2 linked regions of the Stegostoma tigrinum genome follow. The protein of the gene in region 2 interacts with the protein of the main gene of each other region in a pairwise test. Links are inferred from orthologs where the notes say so. Each region holds a gene or a part of one and is shown on either strand. Other genes may lie near its edges.

Evidence for each region.
Region 1: the proteins of ipcef1 (region 2) and cytohesin-3 interact in binary tests that used the Homo sapiens proteins (3 or more experiments, as listed by UniProt). The link is inferred for Stegostoma tigrinum from reciprocal best matches to the Homo sapiens genes IPCEF1 and CYTH3.

The regions. Positions count from the first base shown.
Region 1 is NC_081376.1:34,544,058-34,555,310, reverse strand, and holds the start of cytohesin-3, read right to left. Parts: upstream 5,758-11,253; 5' UTR 5,598-5,757; coding exon 5,579-5,597; intron 1-5,578. UniProt on the Homo sapiens protein: Promotes guanine-nucleotide exchange on ARF1 and ARF6. Promotes the activation of ARF factors through replacement of GDP with GTP. Plays a role in the epithelial polarization.
Region 2 is NC_081362.1:38,133,304-38,144,421, reverse strand, and holds the start of ipcef1 (interactor protein for cytohesin exchange factors 1), read left to right. Parts: upstream 1-6,085; 5' UTR 6,086-6,111; coding exon 6,112-6,165; intron 6,166-11,118. UniProt on the Homo sapiens protein: Enhances the promotion of guanine-nucleotide exchange by PSCD2 on ARF6 in a concentration-dependent manner.

The sequences.
Region 1 (11,253 bases), on a different chromosome or scaffold from region 2:
ATGACAATACAGTGAAGTGCTTATCTCAGTCCCTTATTTTATTTTCTGAAAGAAGGACTGATTTTTTTTCTGAATTCTGCCTCCTCCTCTGGCCCACTTCAAATCACAGCACAGCCATCTATGAGTAAGACATTCCCCACTTCAAGAACACATGGATATTCTGCTCTTCAACTCCAGGATGACTTGATCACAGTCCTGGAGGAATTATTGCTGCTGCAACATTTTCCACCCAAGCTCTATCCGGACCGAGCCAACCGGGCTGTCTTTGAGCAGCAAGGGAGGCTACTTATCTGGGAAAACTAGATAGGTTACCCATCTCCCTAACCATCTCAATTTTGCAATTTTCCTTACAACAAAGAATTCTCGTTTCAATGATCATGTTTCAAGCTCAGTTTTTAAAATTCCTAACATGCTCATGGCTACATAAATTGCTTCCAGATTCTACTTCAACTTTACAAGAAAAGTCATTGGTATTTTAGTCCTGCCAGGGATGATTACAGAATGGTTACATCAAATCAACTAGTGATCCAGAGACTTGACCAACGATAGAGAACTGAACTCAAATCCCAAAAAGGCAGGTGAAAAATTTAACCTCAGTTAATTAAATAAATCTGTAGGAAAAAGCTGCCACAAGATTTTCATTAAAAAAAATCCAGATTCCCTAATACACTTCAGAAAAGGAAATCTGATCTGGCCTATATGTGACTCCAGACCTATTTCAAATGCACTTGACTCATAAAACAAAGAACTGCAGATGCTGTAAATCAGAAACAAAAACAGAAATTGTTGGAAAAATTCAGCAGCTCTGGCAGCATCTGTGGAGAGAAATCAGAGGTAACGTTTCGATTTGACTGACTCTTGTTGGAAATCTAACACAAAAACTCTGTGGAGATGTTGTCAGACCTGCTGGCTTTTTCTAGTAATTTCTGTTTTGTCCTTGACTCTTAAATGCCCTCTGAAATAGCCTAGTAAGCTGTTGTCTCCACCTTCTCTCACTTTATCACAGATGGACCATAAATGCTAAACATCTATATCTCACCCATTTCGATATACTTTGCAGTTATTCCATCCTGCCATCAAATGTGAGACTCCCCAAGTTTCTTAATATGACACCTAGCCCGCCACAATTGCCTTCTGTACTTGCATGTCTCTTTCAACTATTTAAGACTACACTATTTCTTGAAAAACATCTTCTTCCCTCGTTAAATAGTGCCAAAAGCTCAACTCATGTTGCTTGTGCAGACACAAGAAAAATATATGCCTTCTTTTTTGGTAAATTAATCTTAGTTTTAGATGCCTGCCAACTCTATAAAAATAAAATACCATGGATTCTTCCACTGATGAAATAAGTTTAACCCCAAAAGCAAAACAAACCAGCAGTCAACATAACTTCTCTTGAAAAGCACATCTTAGATCAGTTTCCAAATGCTGCCTCTTCTCACTGCAGTGTAAGTATTTTATAATATTAGATTAAACTAAAAATTTTCAGAAGTACAATATTACTCAGGCAAAATTACAATTTGCAGCAATTCAAGATGGCATGTTGTAAAGTATTAATCTGTGTGGATACCAACAGGTCACTCATATGTCAAGCATGTTGATAATATAAGTGTGGACGCGACAAACATGTATCTTTGCACAAATCTACCAGAAAACAACATTACAATTTGGGCTTCAGTTCAACAGGAAATTCATTCACAGGTTTAAGCGAGGGATGGAACTGGACACTTCATCTGTGACAGCACCACAGTCCAAATCATTATGAGGCTGCCAATAGTCACTGATTAGTAATTTCTGTCTCTTCCCTCCCTGACTCCTACTCCAATACCAATCCCACACGCCCAATATGAAACAATTACAGTATAAAAATAAGAGTCAGTAAACAAAGGTATTAGAATACACTGCTGTTGAGGGAAAGAATCTAAAGATAAACATTAAAATTTTATACATTAAAGTGATTGTGAGGATAACTACTAAGAGGAAATGAAATCATGGGAATTACTTTTCACATATGTTCAGGAAAGAGAAAAAAATACAGGAAACCCATCTGATCCTAGGAAATGGCTCATCAGTTTGTACCTACACTTCACAAATTATGTGTCAATTGGTAATTGCAAGTTGGATGCCAAGTTAATATACTTGGCTAGCTGTATTTGCAAATATAGTACGTTGCAAGAGGTTAAAGTGCACACTGTCCTTGGCTGAATGTATTCTTGACTGGATTACTTTGGAGGAAGAAGAAAGCAAATTGCATTTGAAAAACAAAGAATGGAGGTTCATATAGGCAGCTGGTCACTTGACAAATGCACGGAAACAGGATGCATGCTACTCAAATTATTTTAAAAACAGGCTGATGAGTATTTTCATTTGTAAGGGATGGAAGCAAAAACCATATCTTATATGCACCATCATTTAGGTCCCAAAACAATAAGCAAATGAGTAATCAGTCAGTTGTCAGTTGGGATTGCCACTGGCCTTCCAAAGGTAAACCCTGAACTTACAGTAATGGAGAACAGTATAGCAAAGGATGACAACAGGTAACACATGAACCACTTGCCAAAAGAATGATGCCCTCGTAGTGTAGATTTTCCAGGAAAACAATGTGAAACTTGTCAAAATTGAGCTGCTGAGAGTGTGTATGAAGAAACCTGAATGACGGTGCAACAATCTCAGAAAACTCCATAGTGGAGAATGCAACAATGCAATTTTATGGCATTTATGGTCAGCCTGGAATGTTAAATAAATCCCACAAGTCAGCAGCAGAAAAACATGAAAACTAAATTAACTACACCAAACATTTTAGCCTTTTGTAAAGTTTGCCATGAGATCATTTCAGAGAATCCTGCAAAAATAGTTACACTGTCAGCACGAAGACAATGAACATTTGAAGGCCACAGGAACACAGATTAAAGAGCACAACAATACCCAATTAGATAACTCTGAATAGTTCCCTGTGCGCATCGCTTTGCAAGTGTATCCTGAAAGATTGAGTCCTTTACATCATGCAGGTTTCAACAACATTCAACAGATTTACCCCAACACAGGCACGATAGGTTGACTATCCTCGATCAGTGCTGTCACATGTCACAATTCTCACCTACCCTGAAGCTAGTTAACAATTTTCTCCTTCCCAAACTGCATGACGAAACAGAAAACCATGTGTGGCGTTGATTAGACCATTCCAAGTCGGAATGTTGGATTCACACTTAACCAAAATGTAGAGGTTACAGGAAGGGAGGAGGTTAGAACTGGTATTGACTACCTCCAAGCTTATGCAAAGAGTGGGAGGAATGGGAGAGAAGGAAAATAATTACCTAAGAATCCTCATCAGTATCCACCTATGGTGGAAAGTGGGAGTTAGATGGTGGGAGGCAACAAGATTTAGCTCAACTGCTCCTCACAATCAATTAGTATGCATGATCTACCTTCATGCTTGTCAAGGGCAATTTGGGGCAAGTTACAGTAAATCTATCACCCTAGGATCCTCACCACCATGTGTGTTCAAAATTAAAAGGTATCTAGTTACAATGACTGATCAAACTGCATTATGAACAAGGTTTAATGCTCAGTCTTTACAGACTGTACGTCTCTTGCTTAATTTGGACAGTAACAGCTTACAGTACAACTAGGACAGTCATATTGATAACGAAACACATTGGCCTCATTTGAGTTCAACACAAATAGCGAGCTCCATCTGGAAACTAGCAAGTTTAAATTATCACTGTTAATCAGTGAAAAAGTCATATTGGTGCAGCAAAGTATGGGGGAAAACTTTACAATTTAACTCAGAGTTGAGATTTAAAAACACTCCTCGCAAAGGAGGGAATACGGTTACAACAATTGTACAAGGTTACAGAGACTTTTTGTGTCAAATGCACATTTAACGTAGTTACACAGCACATTGACAGCAGCAACACATCTAATTAGCAACATGCTTGTTACAATATAAATACTAAAACGCAGGATAAGATGCCCATTATTTGACTGGGAGACAAATACATTCCAAGAAACACTGCCCCCAATGTCAGCACGCATCTCTCAATAAAACACAGGGGCATCTGTAGAGAGAAACGGTGGAGGTGACAACAGGTTCACCACACAGTAATGCAAGTGGAGAGACTGAGGGAGAGGAGGTGAAGAAGAAAATCAAACAGAAGTTTGAAGGAAACCTAATGTTGATCCAGAACGGCCTCTGTTATTGCAGTGGGGTAGGATGCTTGCCTTGAAGTGGAGGCCACTGGCCGGGCTGCAGTCCCAATCCCTCACTTGGTTCGCACCACCAGCCCTCCACTTCTTCTGCACCAACCACCCCTCCTCTTCCTCCACCAACCCCCTCCCTGGTCAACACTCCTCTTCCCCCATCACTCCTTACCCAGCCCCCATTCCTCCTCCTCTCGCCCCCTCTTCCCATCCTCCTCCTCCTCCTCTCCCTCCCTCTCCACATCTCACTCCCATTCCTCCTCCTTCCCTGGTCAACACTCCTCTTCCCCCATCGCTCCTTACCCAGTCCCCACTCCTCCTCCTCTCGCTCCCCCTCCCCATCCTCCTCCTCCTCTCTCTCTCTCCACATCTCACTCCTATTCCTCCTCCCACTCCCTCTCCTCCTCGTCCTTCTCTGTTTCCGCTCCCTCTCCTCCTCCTCTTCTTCCCGCTCCCTCTGCTCCACCTCCCTCTCCTCCTCTTCTTCCCGCCCCCTCTCCTCCTCCTCCTCTCGCTCTCCCTCCTCAACCTCCTCCTCTTCTTCCCGCTCCCCCTCCTCATCCTCGTCCTCCTCTCACTCCCTCTCCACATCCTCGTCCTCCCGCTCCCTCTCATCCTCGACCTCCTCCCGCTCCCTCTCATCATCCTCCTCCTCCCGCTTCCTCTCCTCATCCTTGACCTCCTCCTGCTCCCTCCCCTCATCCTCGACCTCCTCCCGCTCCCTCTCATCCTCGACCTCCTCCCGCTCCCTCTCATCATCCTCCTCCTCCTGCTCCCTCTCCTCATCCACCTCCCGCTCCCTCTCCTCATCCACCTCCCGCTCCCTCTCCTCATCCTCGACCACCTCCCGCTCCCTCTCATCATCCTCCTCCTCCTGCTCCCTCTCCTCATCCTCCTCCTGCTCCCTCTCCTCATCCACCTCCCGCTCCCTCTCCTCATCCTCGACCTCCTCCCGCTCCCTCTCCTCATCCTCGACCTCCTCCCACTCCCTCTCATCATCCTCCTCCTCTCGATCCCTCTCCTCGATCCCTCTCCCTCTCGATCCTTCTCTCCCTGATCCCGCTCCCTCTCGATCCCTTTCCCTCGATCCTTCTCCCCCTGATCCCACTCCCTCTCGATCCCTCTCTCCCCGAACCCTCTCCCCCGATCCCTCTCCCTCGATCCTTCTCTCCCTGATCCCGCTCCCTCTCCCCAGATCCCACTCCCTCTCGATCCCTCTCTCCCCGATCCCTCTCCCCCGATCCCTCTCCCTCGATCCTTCTCTCCCTGATCCCGATCCCTCTCCCCCCGATCTCTCTCCCCGATCCCTCTCCTCCCTCCGAGTCCCTGCTCACGAACAGTTTGATATATTGTAGTTTCGGGCTCTATTAGTTCTTACCCTGTGGATCCGCTTCCATTCTGGATGCGGTAACGAAAGCTGAGGGGGATAGTGAATGGAGAGGTGGCGATTAAACCAGTTAACTAGCAGTTAACTAGCGCTCTGACCAGGTGACCAGCTCGCGACGTTTGTTTATGAATCGGCTCGACGCAGAAAAAACTGATCCACCAAAACCGCAACGTCACCCAGTCACGTGACCCAACCGACCCCGCCCTTGCACGTAACCAATGACGAAACCGGGGGTGCCAACAACAACCTGTAATTAGATAGCGCCTTCAAGACAGTATCTAGGGTTCTTAAAAATGTTACTCTTTTTCAAACTATCCAATTTCCCTTTCTAAAGTTACTTCTACATCATCATACAATGAGGAAAGAAGCTACTCAACCCTTGAAACAGAACTAGTAGTGACAATGGAAATTTATAATGAAATATATACCAAAGGATACGTTCCAACTGACTTGACGTTTATTGGTCAAGATACCAAAGAAACCTAACGCAATGGAGTGCAATATAATAAAATGTGAGGCTGGATGAACACAGCAGGCCCAGCAGCATCTCAGGAGCACAAAAGCTGACGTTTCGGGCCTAGACCCTTCATCACAGAGGGGGATGGGGAGAGGGTTCTGGAATAAATAGGGAGAGAGGGGGAGGCGGACCGAAGATGGAGAGAAAAGAAGATAGGTGTGCAATCATTTTTAAACAAGTTTACTACTTTACGTGATCTTGAAAATGACGATAGGTATAAATAACCACCCATTGGAAGAAGAAATTGGTGAAACACAGTCTGCATTTAGACTTGAATAGTGCATGCAAACTGTCAAACCAGGAGAAAGAGTAGGCTTATCTGCCCATCACAACTGCTCCACCATTCAATAAGATCATGGTTGATCTGATCTTAATCTCAAATCCATGCCCTTGCCTACCACTGATAATCCTTGCCCAACAAGTGGCAAGTTTAACTCTGTGGCTAGCACTCCTACCTCACCTCACCCTGCAACCGCAGGAAATGCTACACTTGTCCCCACACCTCCTCCCTCACCCCCATCCCAGGCCCCAAGATGACATTCCACATTAAGCAGAGGTTCACCTGCACATCTGCCAATGTGGTATACTGCATCCACTGTACCCGGTGCGGCTTCCTCTACATTGGGGAAACCAAGCGGAGGCTTGGGGACCGCTTTGCAGAACACCTCCGCTCAGTTCGCATAAAACAACTGCACCTCCCAGTCGCAAACCATTTCCACTCCCCCTCCCATTCTCTTGATGACATGTCCATCATGGGCCTCCTGCACTGCCACAATGATGCCACCCGAAGGTTGCAGGAACAGCAACTCATATTCCGCCTGGGAACCCTGCAGCCATATGGTATCAATGTGGACTTCACCAGTTTCAAAATCTCCCCTTCCCCGACTGCATCCCTCAACCAGCCCAGTTCGTCCCCTCCCCCCACTGCACCACACAACCAGCCCAGCTCTTCCCCCCCACCCATTGCATCCCAAAACCAGTCCAACATGTCTCTGCCTCCCTAACCGGTTCTTCCTCTCACCCATCCCTTCCTCCCACCCCAAGCCACACCCCCCGCTACCCACTAACCTCATCCCACCTCCTTGACCTGTCCGTCTTCCCTGGACTGACCTATCCCCTCCCTACCTCCCCACCTACACTCTCTCCACCTATCTTCTTTACTCTCCATCTTCGGTCCGCCTCCCCCTCTCTCCCTATTTATTCCAGTTCCCTCCCCCCATCCCCCTCTCTGATGAAGGGTCTAGGCCCGAAACGTCAGCTTTTGTGCTCCTGAGATGCTGCTTGGCCTGCTGTGTTCGTCCAGCCTCACATTTTATTATCACAGCACAAGGGACTTGGTTTTGATTCCACCCTTGGGTAATTGCTTGGAGTTTGCTGTTCTTCCCGTGCCTGCTTGGGTTTCTGCAGGGTGCTCCAGTTACCTCCCACAGTCCAAAAATGTGAAAGCCAGGTGGACTGGGCATGCTAAATTGCCTGTAGTGTTCAGCAATGTGTAAGTTAGGTGCATCAGCCATTGGAAATACAGAGCTACAATGAAAGGGTAGGCAGCTGGGTCTGGGTGAGATGCTCTTCAAATGGCTGGTGGGCCAAATGGCCTGTTTCCATACTGCAGGAATTCTATATAAAAATCAAGAATTGATCCAAATATGCCTAAAATATATTCAAGGATTATATTTCCACCACCCTTTCAGGAAAAGAGTTCCAAAAACCTACAACTCATCGAGAGTCAAAAAAAAGCCCCATCTTTGTTTTAAATAGGGGGACCCTGATTTTAATGCTTTATGGCACAAAGGCCTTAGATGTTGACTTTTCTCCAGCAGCTGGCCCAAACTTTAGTACATCCTTCAGCATGCAGTCCTGGATGTTGGATTGTACAAATCTTCGTCACTAAGTTGACGACAACTCATTGCACTGGAAGGCGAACAGATTTTGGGGAGACCAAAGAGCGTCTTCCACTATGTTGAAGGTTCCAAGTTGATGACGGTGTTTATATGCACCCAGGGAGCAGCCCATGGAGCACAGAGTACTACATTGTGAAACTACTCTGGATGAATCTTAACAAAAGCCACTGCATCTCTCACCCTAATTCTCCAATGAATTGCCTCCAATGCCTTTACTTTCCGCCTTAAATAAGTAGACCAAATCTGCACACAGTATTTCAGATGTGGTCTCAAAAACACCCTATATGATTTAACTTCCTTGTTTTATCTTCAATTCATCTCATAATAAAGGATAGTATCCCATTAGTTTTCTTAACTACATGCCGTACTGTTTACTAACTTTTTGTGACTCATGCATTTAAACTCCTAAATTAAACTGCACCTCAGAATTCCACAGTTGTTCTCCATTTAAGTAGCAATCTGCTTTTTCATTTTCCCTGCCAACATGAAGAACTTTACATTTTCCTATATTTTCTTGATTTGCCAGATGTTTGCTCTCACTCAAATATCTACATTGATCCACATCTTTATATCTTCTTCACAATGTATTTTCCCACCTACCCTGGTATTATCTGCAAGGTTAGCTACAAAGTCTTCACTTCCCTACAGGACTCCACTCAGTATCTCCTACCAGTCTGATTTTCTGCATGCTCTCTGTTATCTGGCAGCCGGACAATCTTAAAACCATAAGAAATAGGAACAGGAGTAGGACGCTTAGCCTCTCAAACCTGCTCTACAATTCAGTAGATTCATGGCTCACATTCCACTTTCTTGCACTTTCCTTCTAACTCTTGATTCCCTTACTGATCAAGAATCTGTCTCAGTCTTAAATATCATCATCATCAGTGATCTCTCACAGACAAGGATGACTCTCTCTCACTGTCAGGGTGAGTCCAGAAGTAGCAGTACAGACTGATGCAGCTACCCAGGTTCTGTGACACTTGGAGCAGGTGGTGGTCACAGGAAGGGGTGGGTAGTGCATTGGTGTGGTGGTAGCCCGTTCCTTTTGCTGTTTTCACCAGGCTTCCATTTTAACTTGATGGCAAGTAGTCAAGGTGCTCGGCCAAATGCTCCTCCTCCACTTTGGATGGTCTTGGGCCAGTGATTCCCAGGTATCTGTGGGAAGGCCGCACTTCAGCAGGGAAGCCTTGAGTGTATCACTGAAGCTCTTCCTCTGCCCACATGGGGCTTGCCTACCGTATTGTAGCTGGGAGTAGAGCAGCTGCCTGGGGAGTCTTGTGTCAGTCATTCGGACGATGTGCCCATCCCAGCTCAGCTGATCAAGGATGGTCAGTGCCTCAATGCTGGAGATGTTGGTCTTGGTGTTGGTGTATCTGCCTTCCCAGTGGATTTGCAGAATCTTGCGCAGGCGGTGTTGAGGCGTCTGCTGTAGACAGACCATGTCTCAAAGCCGTATAGGTGAGCAAGAACTACCACAGCTTTGTATACCATAGCCTTGGTGTCGGATCTGATGTTAGTGCACCCTTTACAAAGCTCACAAAGACATTTGACACCATCAACCAGGAAGCATTATGGAGCGAGATAATGGGAACTGCAGATGCTGGAGAATTCCAAGATAACAAAATGTGAGGCTGGATGAACACAGCAGGCCAAGCAGCATCCCAGGAGCACAAAAGCCGACGCCTCGGGCCTAGACCCTTCATCAGAGATGAAGGGTCTAGGCCCGAGGCGTCGGCTTTTGTGCTCCTGGGATGCTGCTTGGCCTGCTGTGTTCATCCAGCCTCACATTTTGTTATCTTAGCATTATGGAGCGTCCTTCTCTGCTTTGATTGCACCATGAAGTTTGTCACCATCCTTTGCCTGCTCCACAACAACATGGAAGTCATGGTAATGATGTATGGCTCCACCATCGATCCATTTCCCATTCAGACCAGTGTAAAGCAGGGCTGTATCATCGTCCTAACACTGTTCCTGTTCTACTTCACTGCAGTTCTTCACCTCAGCACTGACAAGGTCCCTGCTACAGTGGAGCTAACCTACAAAACCAGCGAGAAATTATTCAACCGCCACCACCTTCAAGCCAAAACGAAAGTCACCCCAACCAGTGTCATTGAGCTGTAGTACACAGATGATGCTTGCATATGTGCAAACTCAGAGGAAGAACTCCAGACCATCATCAACATCTTTATGGAGGCTAAATGAGAGCATGGCGCTCACTTTGAATATCCGCAAGTTGAAGGTCCTCCATCAACTTGGCTTGGAATTGTGGAGTGAACCCTGAATCATCCTGGCCCCTGGGGAGGCCTTAGAGAACACTGACCACTTCCAACACCTTTGAAGCGTCCAGTCAGCCAAATCAACTATTGATGAAAAGATCTGGCATCACCTCTAGTGTGCTAGCACAGCCTTCAGCCACCCGAGGAAAAGGGTGCTCGAGAACTGAAATGTATACAGGACTCTGCCCCCACAGCTGGCTGTGGTGAGGGGTTACAGAAAGTGACAACCCACTGAGAGAAGAAATTCATCCTTATCTCAATCTTAAATTGGCAGACTTTACATTAAGACAATGCCTGCCAAGCCTAGGCTCTCCATGACGGGAAGCATTTCCTGAGAATTTACCCAGTTAAGCCCTTTAAGAAACCTATGTGTTTCAATGAGATCACCTGTCATTTTCGAATTTCCAATCCAACCTGTTTAGCTTTTGACTGTATCCATTCTCAAATGCTACTCCAATTCTATGAGTTTCTATTTTCAGCAATAATCTTTCATGTGGCACCTTTCATTCTGGAAATCAATGTACAGTATGTCTACAGACTTCTCTGTATCCATGTTTCTCCTTCAAAGACTTTAATAAATTGGTTAAACATGATTTTTCTTTTACCAAACCATGCTGGCCCATCCACAATTACCCCAAGCTTTCCTAACTGTGCAACTAAAATGCCTTTAATGATCGGCTTTAACATTTTTCTAGATGTCAATCCATTTGGTTTATTGTTTTCTGCTTCCCTCTTCTTACATAAAGGTGTTATGTTTATTATGTTCCGGTTCAAAGGAACCTTTTCTGAATCTAAAGAATTTTGGGAAAACTAACATTAAGGCACATACAACCTCATTAGCCATCTCTTGTAAAACTGTAGGCTAAAGCCCCACTGGACCCAGAGATTTGTCAGGCACCAGCTCCATCAGTTTAGAACATAGAACAATACAATACAGGGATGGGCTCTTCGGCCCACAATGCTGTGCCAAAC
Region 2 (11,118 bases):
ATATTCCGCTTGGGAACCCTGCAGCCCAATGGTATCAATGTGGACTTCCCAAGCTTCAAAATCTCCCCTCTTCCTACTGCATCCCCAAACCAGCCCACCTCATCCCTGTCTCCCTAACCTGTCCTTCCTCCCACCTATCCCCTGCTCCCACCTCAAGGCCCACCCCCATCTCCGACCTACTAACCTTAACCCACCCCCTTGACCTGCCTGTCCTCCCTGGACTGACCTATCTCCTACCTAACTCCCCACCTACGCTCACCTTTACCAGCTCCATTCCCGCCTCTTTGACCTGTCTGTCTCCTCTCCACCTATCTTCTCCACTATCCATCTTCTATCTGCCTCCCCCCCTCCCTATTTATTTCAGAAACCCCTTCCCCCTCCTCCAATTCCAAAGAAGGGTCTAGGCCCATAATATCGGCCTTCCTGTTCCTCTGATGCTGCTTGGCCTGCTGCGTTCATTCAACTCTACACCTTGTTATAGAACATAGAACATAGAACATAGAACATAGAACAGTACAGCACAGAACAGGCCCTTCAGCCCACAATGTTGTGCCGACCATTGATCCTCATGTGTGCACCCTCAAATTTCTGTGACCATATGCATGTCCAGCAGTCTCTTAAATGACCCCAATGACCTTGCTTCCACAACTGCTGCTGGAAACGCGTTCCATGCTCTCACAACTCTCTGTGTAAAGAACCCGCCTCTGACATCCCCTCTATACTTTCCACCAACCAGCTTAAAACTATGACCCCTCGTGCTAGCCATTTCTGCCCTGGGAAATAGTCTCTGGCTATCAACTCTATCTATGCCTCTCATTATCTCATAGGAGTGGAAAGGTCTTTTTTCAAGTGGCAGCCAGTGGCTAGTGGGCTACGGCATATATTCACTATATATGTTAAAGATTTAGTTGCAGGAATTAAACGTAATATCTCCAAGTTTGCAGATGAAACAAAGCTGGGTGGGAGCGTGAGCTGTGAAAAAATGCAGAGATGGTTCAGTGTCATTTGAACCAGTTGAGTGAGTGGACAACTGCATGGCAGATGAAGTATAATGTGGATAAATGTGAGATTTTCCACTTTGGTAGCAAAAACAGAAACATGGATTTTTATCTGAATGGCTACAATTTTAGAGAGGGAATATGCAATAAGGCAGGGTGTCTTTCTACGCCAGTCACAGAAGGTAAGCCTGTAGATGCAGCAGGTGGTGAAGAAGGCAAGTGATATGTCAGTCTTCATAGCAAGAGGATTTGAGAACGGGGCAGGGATGTTTTGCTGCAATAGTGCAGGGCCTTGCTGAGACTGCACCTGGAGTGATGTGTGCAGTTTTAGTTTCTTTATCTGGGCAAAGATATTCTGCCTTTGGAGCAAGTGCGACAATGGTTACCAGACTGATTTCTGGGATGGCAGTCTAAAGTACGAAGAGAGAGTGGTTTTGGTAAGTTGTATCCACTGGGGTTTAGAAGAATGGATAGTGTCACATAGAAACTTGTAAAATTTGCATAGGGCAATATAGGGTAAATGGAGGAGGGATGTCCCCAATAACCATAGAGCCCAGAATGGGGATCACAGCCTAAGAATATGGAATGGGCTGTTGAGGAGAGAGATGAAGAGGACTTTCTTCACCCAGAGAGTGGAACCTATGGACTTCTCTATTACAGAAAGTAGTTGAGACCACAACACAGAATATTTTTGAGAAGGAGTTGGATATAGTTCGCAGGGTGATAGGGAATCAAAGGATTTAGGGAGAATGCAAGATCAAGGTTCTCAGCTGGATCATCAGTTATGATCATACTGACTACCAGAGCATGCTCAAAGAGACAAGTGGCCTATTTCTGCTCCAATTTTCTATGTTTCTGTCCCTGCACAAAACACGAAAATTTGGATGGTTTATCATTCATCCTTCCCATCACTAACTCACAATTTGTTTCTCTTTTACAAATTGTTGCTGTTTGTGGCTGAGACAATAATATTGAGGGCAACTATTCATCAGGTAATCGACAAAAAGATGTGAAAATTACATATGGCGATATTATTTGTGAAAGAGACAGGCAGTTCCAAATCTGGAATGGCTAAATTAATAACATGCAAGCATTTATCAAACCTGACTAATCTGATACAAATTGTATCATGATGTGATATTTGTGCCCTGATATTAATCACTGTTCTTGTTCTCAACAATTTAAAGACATTCCTGTTTTGCTGAAATTTTTATTTCACCAGAATTGAAGAAGAACATAGAACATAGAACATTACAGTGCAGTACAGGCCCTTCGGCCCTCGATGTTGCGCTGACCTGTGAAACCAATCTGAAGCCCATCTAACCTACACTATTCCATTATCATCCATATGTTTACCCAATGACCATTTAAACGCCCTTAAAGTTGGCAGAAGACTGACAATTTTTTAAATAAGACACGGGTAGAGATCAATTCAGAGATAGTAAGAACTGCTAATGCTAGAGAATCTGAGATAACAAGGTGTAGAGCTGGATGAACACAGCAGGCCAAGCAGCATCAGAGGAGCAGGAAAGCTGACGTTTGGGTCTGAACCCTTCTTCAAAAAATGGAGAGGAGAAGGGGATTCTGAAATAAATACAGAAAGAGGGGGAGGCAGATGGAAGATGAATAAAGGAGCAGATAGGCAGAGAGGACACAGACAGGCCAAAGAGGCAGGGATGGAGCCAGTAAAGATGAGTGTAGGTGGAGAGGTAGGGTCGGCATAGGTCAGTCCAGGGAGGACAGACAAGTCAAGGAGGTGGGATGATGCTGGTAGGTAGGAGATGGGGGTGGTGCTTGAGGTTGGAGGACTGGATAGGTGTGAAAAAGGACAGACAGGTTAGGGAAGCGGGGTTGAGGTGGGCTGGTGTTGGGGATGTGGTCAGGGGAGGGGAGATTTTGAAGCTTATGAAATCCACATTGATACCATTGGGTTGCAGGGTTCCCAAGCGAAATATGAGGTGCTGTTCCTGCAACCTTCAGGTGGCATTGCTGAGGGAGATTCTGTTTTGGTAGTTGTTGCAGGGAGGGGTTGTGAAGGATGAGTTGCAGGAAATGCAAGAGACATGGTGAAGGGCGTTTTCGATCACTATGGACGGGAAGTCGCGGTGTGGAATGTCTCACCACGGGACCAGATGTGGCAGAGGTGAAGGAATTGGGAATAGGGGATGGCATTTTTGCAGGAAGGTGGGTGAGAGGAGGTGTTATCTAGGTAGCTGTGGGAGTTGATAGGCTTAAAATGGATATCGGTTTCTAGGTGATAGCCAGAAATGGAAGCAGAGAGGTCCAGGAAAGAGACAGAGGTATCAGAAATGGTCCAGGTGAACTTAAGGGTGGGGTGGAAGGTATTAGTGAAGTGGATGAACTGTTTGTGCTCCTTGTGGGAGCACGAGGCGGCACTGATACAGTCATCGATGTAACGGAGGAAGAGGTGGGGGATAGGGCTAGTGTAGCTTTGGAAGAGGGATCGTTCCACATATCCTACAAAGAGGCAGACATAGCTTGGGCCCATGCGGGTACCCATGGCTTCCCCCTTTGTCTATAAACGTGGAAGGAATTGAAGGAGAAATTGTTGAGGGTGAGGACAAGTTCAGCCAAGCCGATAAGTGTGTCAGTGGAGGGGGACTGGTCGGGCCTGCAGGTCAGGAAGAAGCAGAGGGCCTTTAAGACATCTGTATGGGGAATGCAAGTGTACAACTGGACATCCATGGTAAAGATGAGGTGTGGGGACCAGGGAATCGGAATTTTTGGAGGAGGTAGAGGATGTGGGTGGTGTCATGGATATATGTAGAGAGTTCCAGGACCAAGGGGGAGAAAATGGAGTCGAGATAGGTGGAGATACTTTTGGTGGGGCAGGAGCAGGCACAGACAATGGGTCGACCAGGGCAGTCAGGTTTGTGGATTTTGGGAATGAGATAGAAGTGGGCGGTGTGGGGTTGGGGAACGATGAGGTTGGAGGCTGTGGGTGGGAGGTCACCTAACACGATGAGGTTGTAGGTGGTTTGGGAGATGATGGTTTGGTGGTCGGAGGTGGTGAAGACCCAACAGGGCTTGGTGCTACCTCCACATCACTGAGGCCAGATGCTAGCTCTTTGACAACTCCTCCTACTGGCCCCTGGATCATGACCCCACCCCCAACCATCTGCTCCTTTATCCATCCTCCATCAGCCTCCCCCTCTCTCTCTATTTATTTCAGAATCCCTTTCTCTTCCTTCATTTCAGAAGAAGGGTCCAGACTCAAAATGTCAGCTTTCCTGCTCCTCTGATGATGCTTGGCCCCATGTGTTCATCCAGCTCTATACCATGTTATCTTGGGGAGAGATCAACTCATCTTTAGCTCTATTATTGTAATGTGTTCGCAGTATGTGGAAGTAATTACTAAGGGAAATGGGGAGGTTGCTTTTTATATGCAACTTCATCTATAGTAGCTGTAGTAGACAGCTGTGAAACATTGACCTTTATAGATATTTACATAAATAGAAAATAAACTCTTTGACTTGAAATTTTGAACAGATTACATCCAGATCTTGTTGAGAAATTTGTATTATAAATTTGAAGTATAATTTCCGAGATTTTCTGCGTTATCACTCCTTGTTCACCTTCCTGCCTTTTGCTCCATGCACTGGTGACAGACAAAGCATTTTGGTAGCAAATGGTACCAAATTCATCTGTCTAAGTACTTTTTCTCCTGAGTTACTTGCTGCAGCATGCAGGAAATTAATCTAATTCCTGGAAACCCTGAACAATTATTGCTAGCATTTCATTCAGCTATGAGAGATGAATGCTCTTAGTCTTGTGTAAGAAGTAAAATAACTTGTTCAACTTGCCCTCTTTTTCAACCACTCGAAAGTAAGGAGGTAGTGTGCCAGGTGACAGGTGCTTTAGGGAATAGGCTGCCAAAGCAGGTGTGAGATAGGATGACAAGTGCATGAGTGGGTGTAGTGCCAGTTATGTGAGTATGAAGGAAAGGGATGCCAGATAGGTGAGGCAATTGGATGGCAAGTATGTAGATGCTTACTGTAGTCAGAGTGGATTGGGGACCAGTTTGTCTCCAGTGGGGATGTGTTTCGAGTCAAGAGGAGTCAGGAGATCAGGTCAGATTTGACAAAGGTGTTGTTGGATTTTTCCAGGAGGACTATTAAGTTTAAGTCAGTCAGAACCTTTCAATGTGTTTGACTCTAACTTTGAGTTTGGGCCTTTTTTGGAGGCTTTGGGGTACTGGGTAATTGCGCATCCAGAAATTCAACTTCTAATGCAATTCCCAAAGGAGCCCAGCACTTTCAGGCCTTCCATGTAGTCGCGATGTACAAAACCAGTCACCACTGCTGCAATAACAGTTCTCTTCTTAGAAGATCAAGGCCTTTACTTCCAGGATAATATTGAGAGCTGACGAGATTCATTATGTCAGGGATCTGCAACCTGTCCTTCTGAAGCTGCATATAACTCACATTAGTGACTTGTGTAACTCCTGATTTTGATCAATCAATCCCATTTTGATAATTCAGTAATTTGTTTGTAATGTTTTAAAATTTTATTGACAACATAATTGTGAGACAGTATCAGTCAAGCAACAAAATGGTTAAAATGTTGTCAAAATGTGCTAATCCTTTTTTAAAATTATTATCAATGTTTGAGTAACGGCATTGGGTTTTTAAGATATGGTGTTTTGCCATGTGGTTGCTCTGGTCAGTTAGGTTGTCAAAGTCTGCACTATGTGTCTATCAAACTCTGCTTTAATTTCACCAGCCCGGAACTCCACGATAGCCAGAACTGGGTGGTTGTTAGAATTTCTTTCTGCACTTAATCACACTTATTTACTTTATGTTGGAGACAAGGTTTCTTTTTCTGAGCAACTTTGCAACTTGTGTAGGTTCTAAGACGACTGAACAAACATGCACATCTTCCGCATGTAATCTGTTTATCTGAAATGACATCATTGCAGGTCAGATCATTTTGAGTGATTTAAAGGGATCCATTATACAGTCAAGAATATGAGCAGCAGCTTTTGGAAAGTCTTTCAGCCACAGTCTGTAAGATGATGATATTGCATGCTCCCTTCCGCTTGATTTATTTGTAGCTCTGACCAGTTTGGGTAGAACTTCCTGTGTTTTTTGACATGATATCATTAACTAATGCAGCTACAGAGAGTGCCAGTAGCTTGGGAGCCTTGGTATGTAATATCTGTTTTTATTTTTTGTCTTTTTTTAAAATTTGCATGTGTTTGTACACTTGATTGTAAATTTTTAAGGACAGGTTTGTGTCAATGGATTTCATTGTTCCTAGGTTAAAAAGAGAAATGCTGCATGTCTGATAAGGGCTGTTTTCTCAGAAACTTTACATGAAATTATTTTTGTACAGACTTCTAAGCAATGGATCATAATGTTCTGCATTTAAAAAAGTTAAAATTACATCTGGGTGAATTGACAATTAATGACTGTATTGAGATAACTGTTTGAAAAATGTAAATACTTTAATTCACGACTTTATGTAATATAAATTGTCTTTTAAATTGTTTAATATTATGTCCTGTGAATATCTATTTCATTTCTCATATTGAAATTCAGAAGGTTTTGTCATGAATACTTTGGAATTATGTGGTGTTGTGATGTTGCTAGATCCCAATGTATTGGTTAAAACCTACTGTATAGGGAGCTTCATATCCACAATTCTTTGTACCAGTATTTGCTAACACCAACAAAGCAAGGAGTTTAAGCAAGTATTACCAAGTAGTAGTGGCCATAGTGATAGATGCAAGGACTGTTACAGCAGATGTCTTTTCACTCTGGCTGTTGGCCTTGAGGTGATCTAGAAAAAGGTCATGCAGCACATCTTGGGTTTCAGTCACCCAACAGAGCATATTTCTCAATCTTCCTCCTCTTATTTGCACCCAGTTATTTCTGATGTCTACAGCAACAAAAACAAGTTTTCTTCAATGACGGCTCCATTTCCCTTTAGATGTTTAATAATTTTAAGAAGTCAGTTTGAACATCTTGCTGTATTCAAAGGTCTTCCACATGTAAGAATGTGAATATTTTGTGCTCTGATTTCTGTAGAGACAAATTTTAAAAAGAAATTTCAGCATCCAGTTAAATAGCTGAAAGATCAACAGGTCAAGATGTCATATTTAAGATTTACTGCAACAAGTAACTTAAAAACATTTTTAACTAAACACTATCTTTGTCAGCAACTTGTATTTTCACCCTCAGAACAGCAAACCGACCTTCTCGTTCTTAGTCCTAGTGAAAATACACTTCAACACTGTTCTTTGAATAGGCAATTATTTTTTACCAAAATCTTAGCTCCCAAGGGTTTATTCCCATACTTTTCTCAGCCTCTTAACTTGCAAACTTAGAACTGCTTTTCACAGTAAAGTTTCAGTTTCCCAGAGATTCTGTCTCAAGCTGAAAGAGGGTAACCCTCCCTAACTGCATTATGGGTCTACCTACATCATATGGGGTGGCACAGTGGCTAGCACTGCTGCCTCACAGCACCAGGGACTTGGGCTCGATTCCACCCTCAGGTGACTGTCTGTGTGGAGTTTTCACGTTCTCCCTGTGTCTGTGTGGGTTTCCTTGAGGTGCTCCAGTTTCCTCCCACAGTCCAAAGGTGTGCAGGCTAGGTGGATTGGCCATGCTAAATTGCCCCATGGTGTTCAGAGATTTGTAGATTTGGTGGCTTATAGGGAGATGGATCTGGATGGTATGTTTGAGGGTCAGTGTGGACTTGTTGGGCCAAAGGGCCTGTTTCTACACTATAGGGATTCTATGCACTGCAGTGATTCAAAAAGACAGCTCACCACCACCCTTATGGTAGCTAGCGATGGGCAACAAAAGATGGTCTAGCCAGTGACCATCGCATGAATGAATAAAGAAAACAAATCCGAGTTTTCTGCACTCCTGTGTGCAAACTATTGAAACTTTTTAGTCTCTAATTTCTCCTTCTCTTCCACATCCAGATAGACACAAAACACTGTCAGCTATTCAGTGGTATTCTCGGAAAACCTGTGATCCAATTTTTACATTGGCTGCCTCTGAACCCTCCCCATCACAATGTTAATCCCATGGGTCATTTACCTCGATAGAAATGCTCACTAGCTATCTTTGAGAGCTCAATTTTCTTTGAACTTGGAAATAAATGGACAGTTAAAAGCACAATCAATTAAAACCTGACATTGTCACTATTTTTCTGAGGTTTTGGCAATTTACGGTCTCCAATGTTAACGCAAATGCTGCTGCCATTCTTTTCATTCCAGAAATGCTGTTACTCACAACTGAATGTATTTTTCCCCCATCACTAAATCATCCTTTTTTTAAGGATATTAACCACCATCAGTAAATCACCCTCGTTTTCCAATTGAATAATTTACACACAAAGTCCATTGACGTCAATTCAGACCACCAAAGTTGAGGTAGTGGGGCTGGAGGCTAAATTATAATGGAGTTGAATGGGGAAATAAAACAGTCTACCTGTTGTGGTGCCCAGCTCTCTCTAAAGGCTCAAGAGTATTGGTGAACACCTTGTGCTCCTTCTTCAAGAATACCCAGGCACGAACGTACCCACAGAAAAGCAGAGGCTGCTGCCATTGCCTCCAAGTTTAAATTCCCTGTGCCTGTTCCCGTTAAAACAATGTGACCCCTTCTTTGATTTAATGATCGAACCACCCACTCTGACCGATAGACAGATTTCAGAACTGGTCACGCAACTACCTTCATTGTGCCTTAAATTTAATGACATGGTCCCAAAACATAAAAATTGACTAAACCTCATAATTGAAACAATTGTTTTTCACGAGGGTGTTAATGATGAAATTAATTTGCAATTATTGCCACAAATGTGGGGAAGTGGAAAATAAATACCAAAATGCAATGTTGTTGAAGCAAGGGTTACATTGACACTGAAATTAGTTGAGTTAGTTGCTATTACATCTTTTAAAGAGAATTGCAAACTCTGTTTAGAGATATTCCCAGAAATTTGGCCATGTGACATCTGTCAAATGTGTTTAGTTTGTATCAAAGAGATGGGGCTCTTCGTGATTAAATGTTCATGTCAGTCGTTATTATGTGAGTGGTTGTCCAAACCAAGGAGTCATCTGTAAGCAAGACATGTGGGGGAGCACAGAAGAGGGAGAAATTCACAAAAGACAGCAAACATTGCAGGTATTGATTTTACCAGTGACTCTAATAAAACAAAATTGTACGAACATCAGTTTAGCAATGACATGAATGAATTCACAGCAGCAATTGCTTCTGAACCAACCAGTGTCATGACTGAAGTGGGAAAAGTACACGATAATTGGATCCTACTATTTCCCAAGTTGTGCTAAAATGCATAAAATTCTAGTTAGATCATGAAAATCAGCAATTTCCTTGTCAGCCTGCCATTCAGGAGAATAGAAGTCTACACTAAATTTTGTCATAAGCAGAGAATAACTCTTCATTGTAATCACACTGGCAAAAGTCAGGGGAAAGAAAAAGTATTTCTAATCCACTTTCAGCCTTAAAAAAAAACAAATAATGTATTGATTCGGTATTAAGACAGATAAAAGACGCATAGCTTGCCACAGATACACCAAGTGGGAGAACATATACAGGGAAAACAAAGTTCGGAAGATTAAAAGTCCAAATCAAAAGGTAGAATGTTATTTCTCATAGTCAATTTATACTTAGGTTACACACAGAATCATAGAATCCCAAGAGTGTGGAAACAGGCCCTTCACTGCAATAAGTCCACACCGATCCTCAGAGGATCCCACACAGACCCATCCCCCTATAACCCACTTAATTGACGCATCCCTGAACATTATGGGCAATTTAGCATGGCCAATCCAACTAACCTGCACATCGTTGTATTATGGGAAGAAACCGGAGAACCTGGAGGAAACCCATACAGACATGGGGAGAGTGTGCAAACTCCACACAGACGGTGGCCCGAGGGTGGAATCGAGTCTGGGTCCCTAGCCTTGTGAGGCAGCAGTGCTAACCACTTATAACGTCTGGAACCAAACCCAGTGACTACACAAAGGCCAATAAGCTCTTTCTTTGTGACACTTCTCAATGGCAATTGCCCCAAACTCAGCTCAGCAACAATATTTCTAAGCCATTCCCTCGGCTCTGTCTGGATAAAAGAGAATTTTTAATTGAGTGATACAAATTTCTTTGCAGGAGAGGCTATTATCCTCTTGACTTCAACCCTACTGGTACCTGTACCTGTATTGAGACTCTTTCCTGAACTTACATTCCCCTGGACTCTTTAAACATTTATGTCAATTCCATTTTAATGGTCTTCTCTGCAACTGATTAACCACTTGTGGTGAAAAATCCCAAATTGTGGCCAATGTAAAAATGATCCTTCTTCCTTCCATAATAACATAAAACAAAGAATTGTTGATTTTGGAAAGCAGAAATAATACAGAAATTGCTGGAAAAATTCAACAGGCCTGGCAGTATCAGTGGAGAAAATGCAGAGTGAATGTTTCAGATCCAATAACCCTTCTTCAGAACTAAAAGTAGCTGATTCTTTCTTCCATCTTGGTTATTCAATGAGAGTCTGAATTCTCTGTTTCTTCATTCCCCATTTACCATCCATTGGGAACAACTTTCGTAAATGACAGTGAATTGCTAATTTATACTCATCCAATTACTGGGTGCACCTCACTGCGCCAATTCCACATAATACTTTGCTGCTGAACCAACGTCTGTGGAAATTCTGGTGACTATGTCTTTCTCATTTCTGAGTATGTATATATGCATCAAGGTTTAAAACTCAAGACCTCTTCCCCACCTGCCTAAGAATTAAACCCTTGAGACCCCCACCTCTTCTACACATGAACAACACTCTCCTGAACTTCCTCAACTCTGGGCAGCTGCCAATCATTCTTCCTGCTCTGATCTTCTCAGTTTTTGGTAACCCATTCCTTCCCATGCTCTGAATGTTCAGCATCCTTCAGCCACTGTTCACTGTTCTCCAACCTGCCATCTGGTGCTGATTCTATCTTGTCAAAAACCCTGCATGACCTCTGACTCCTCACTAATTCACTGTGACTCAGTCCCACTTCCAACAACCCTTAATCAGGGAGATTAATTTTAGAAAGAGCTAGCACAAGCAGAATAGCAGAATGGCCTCC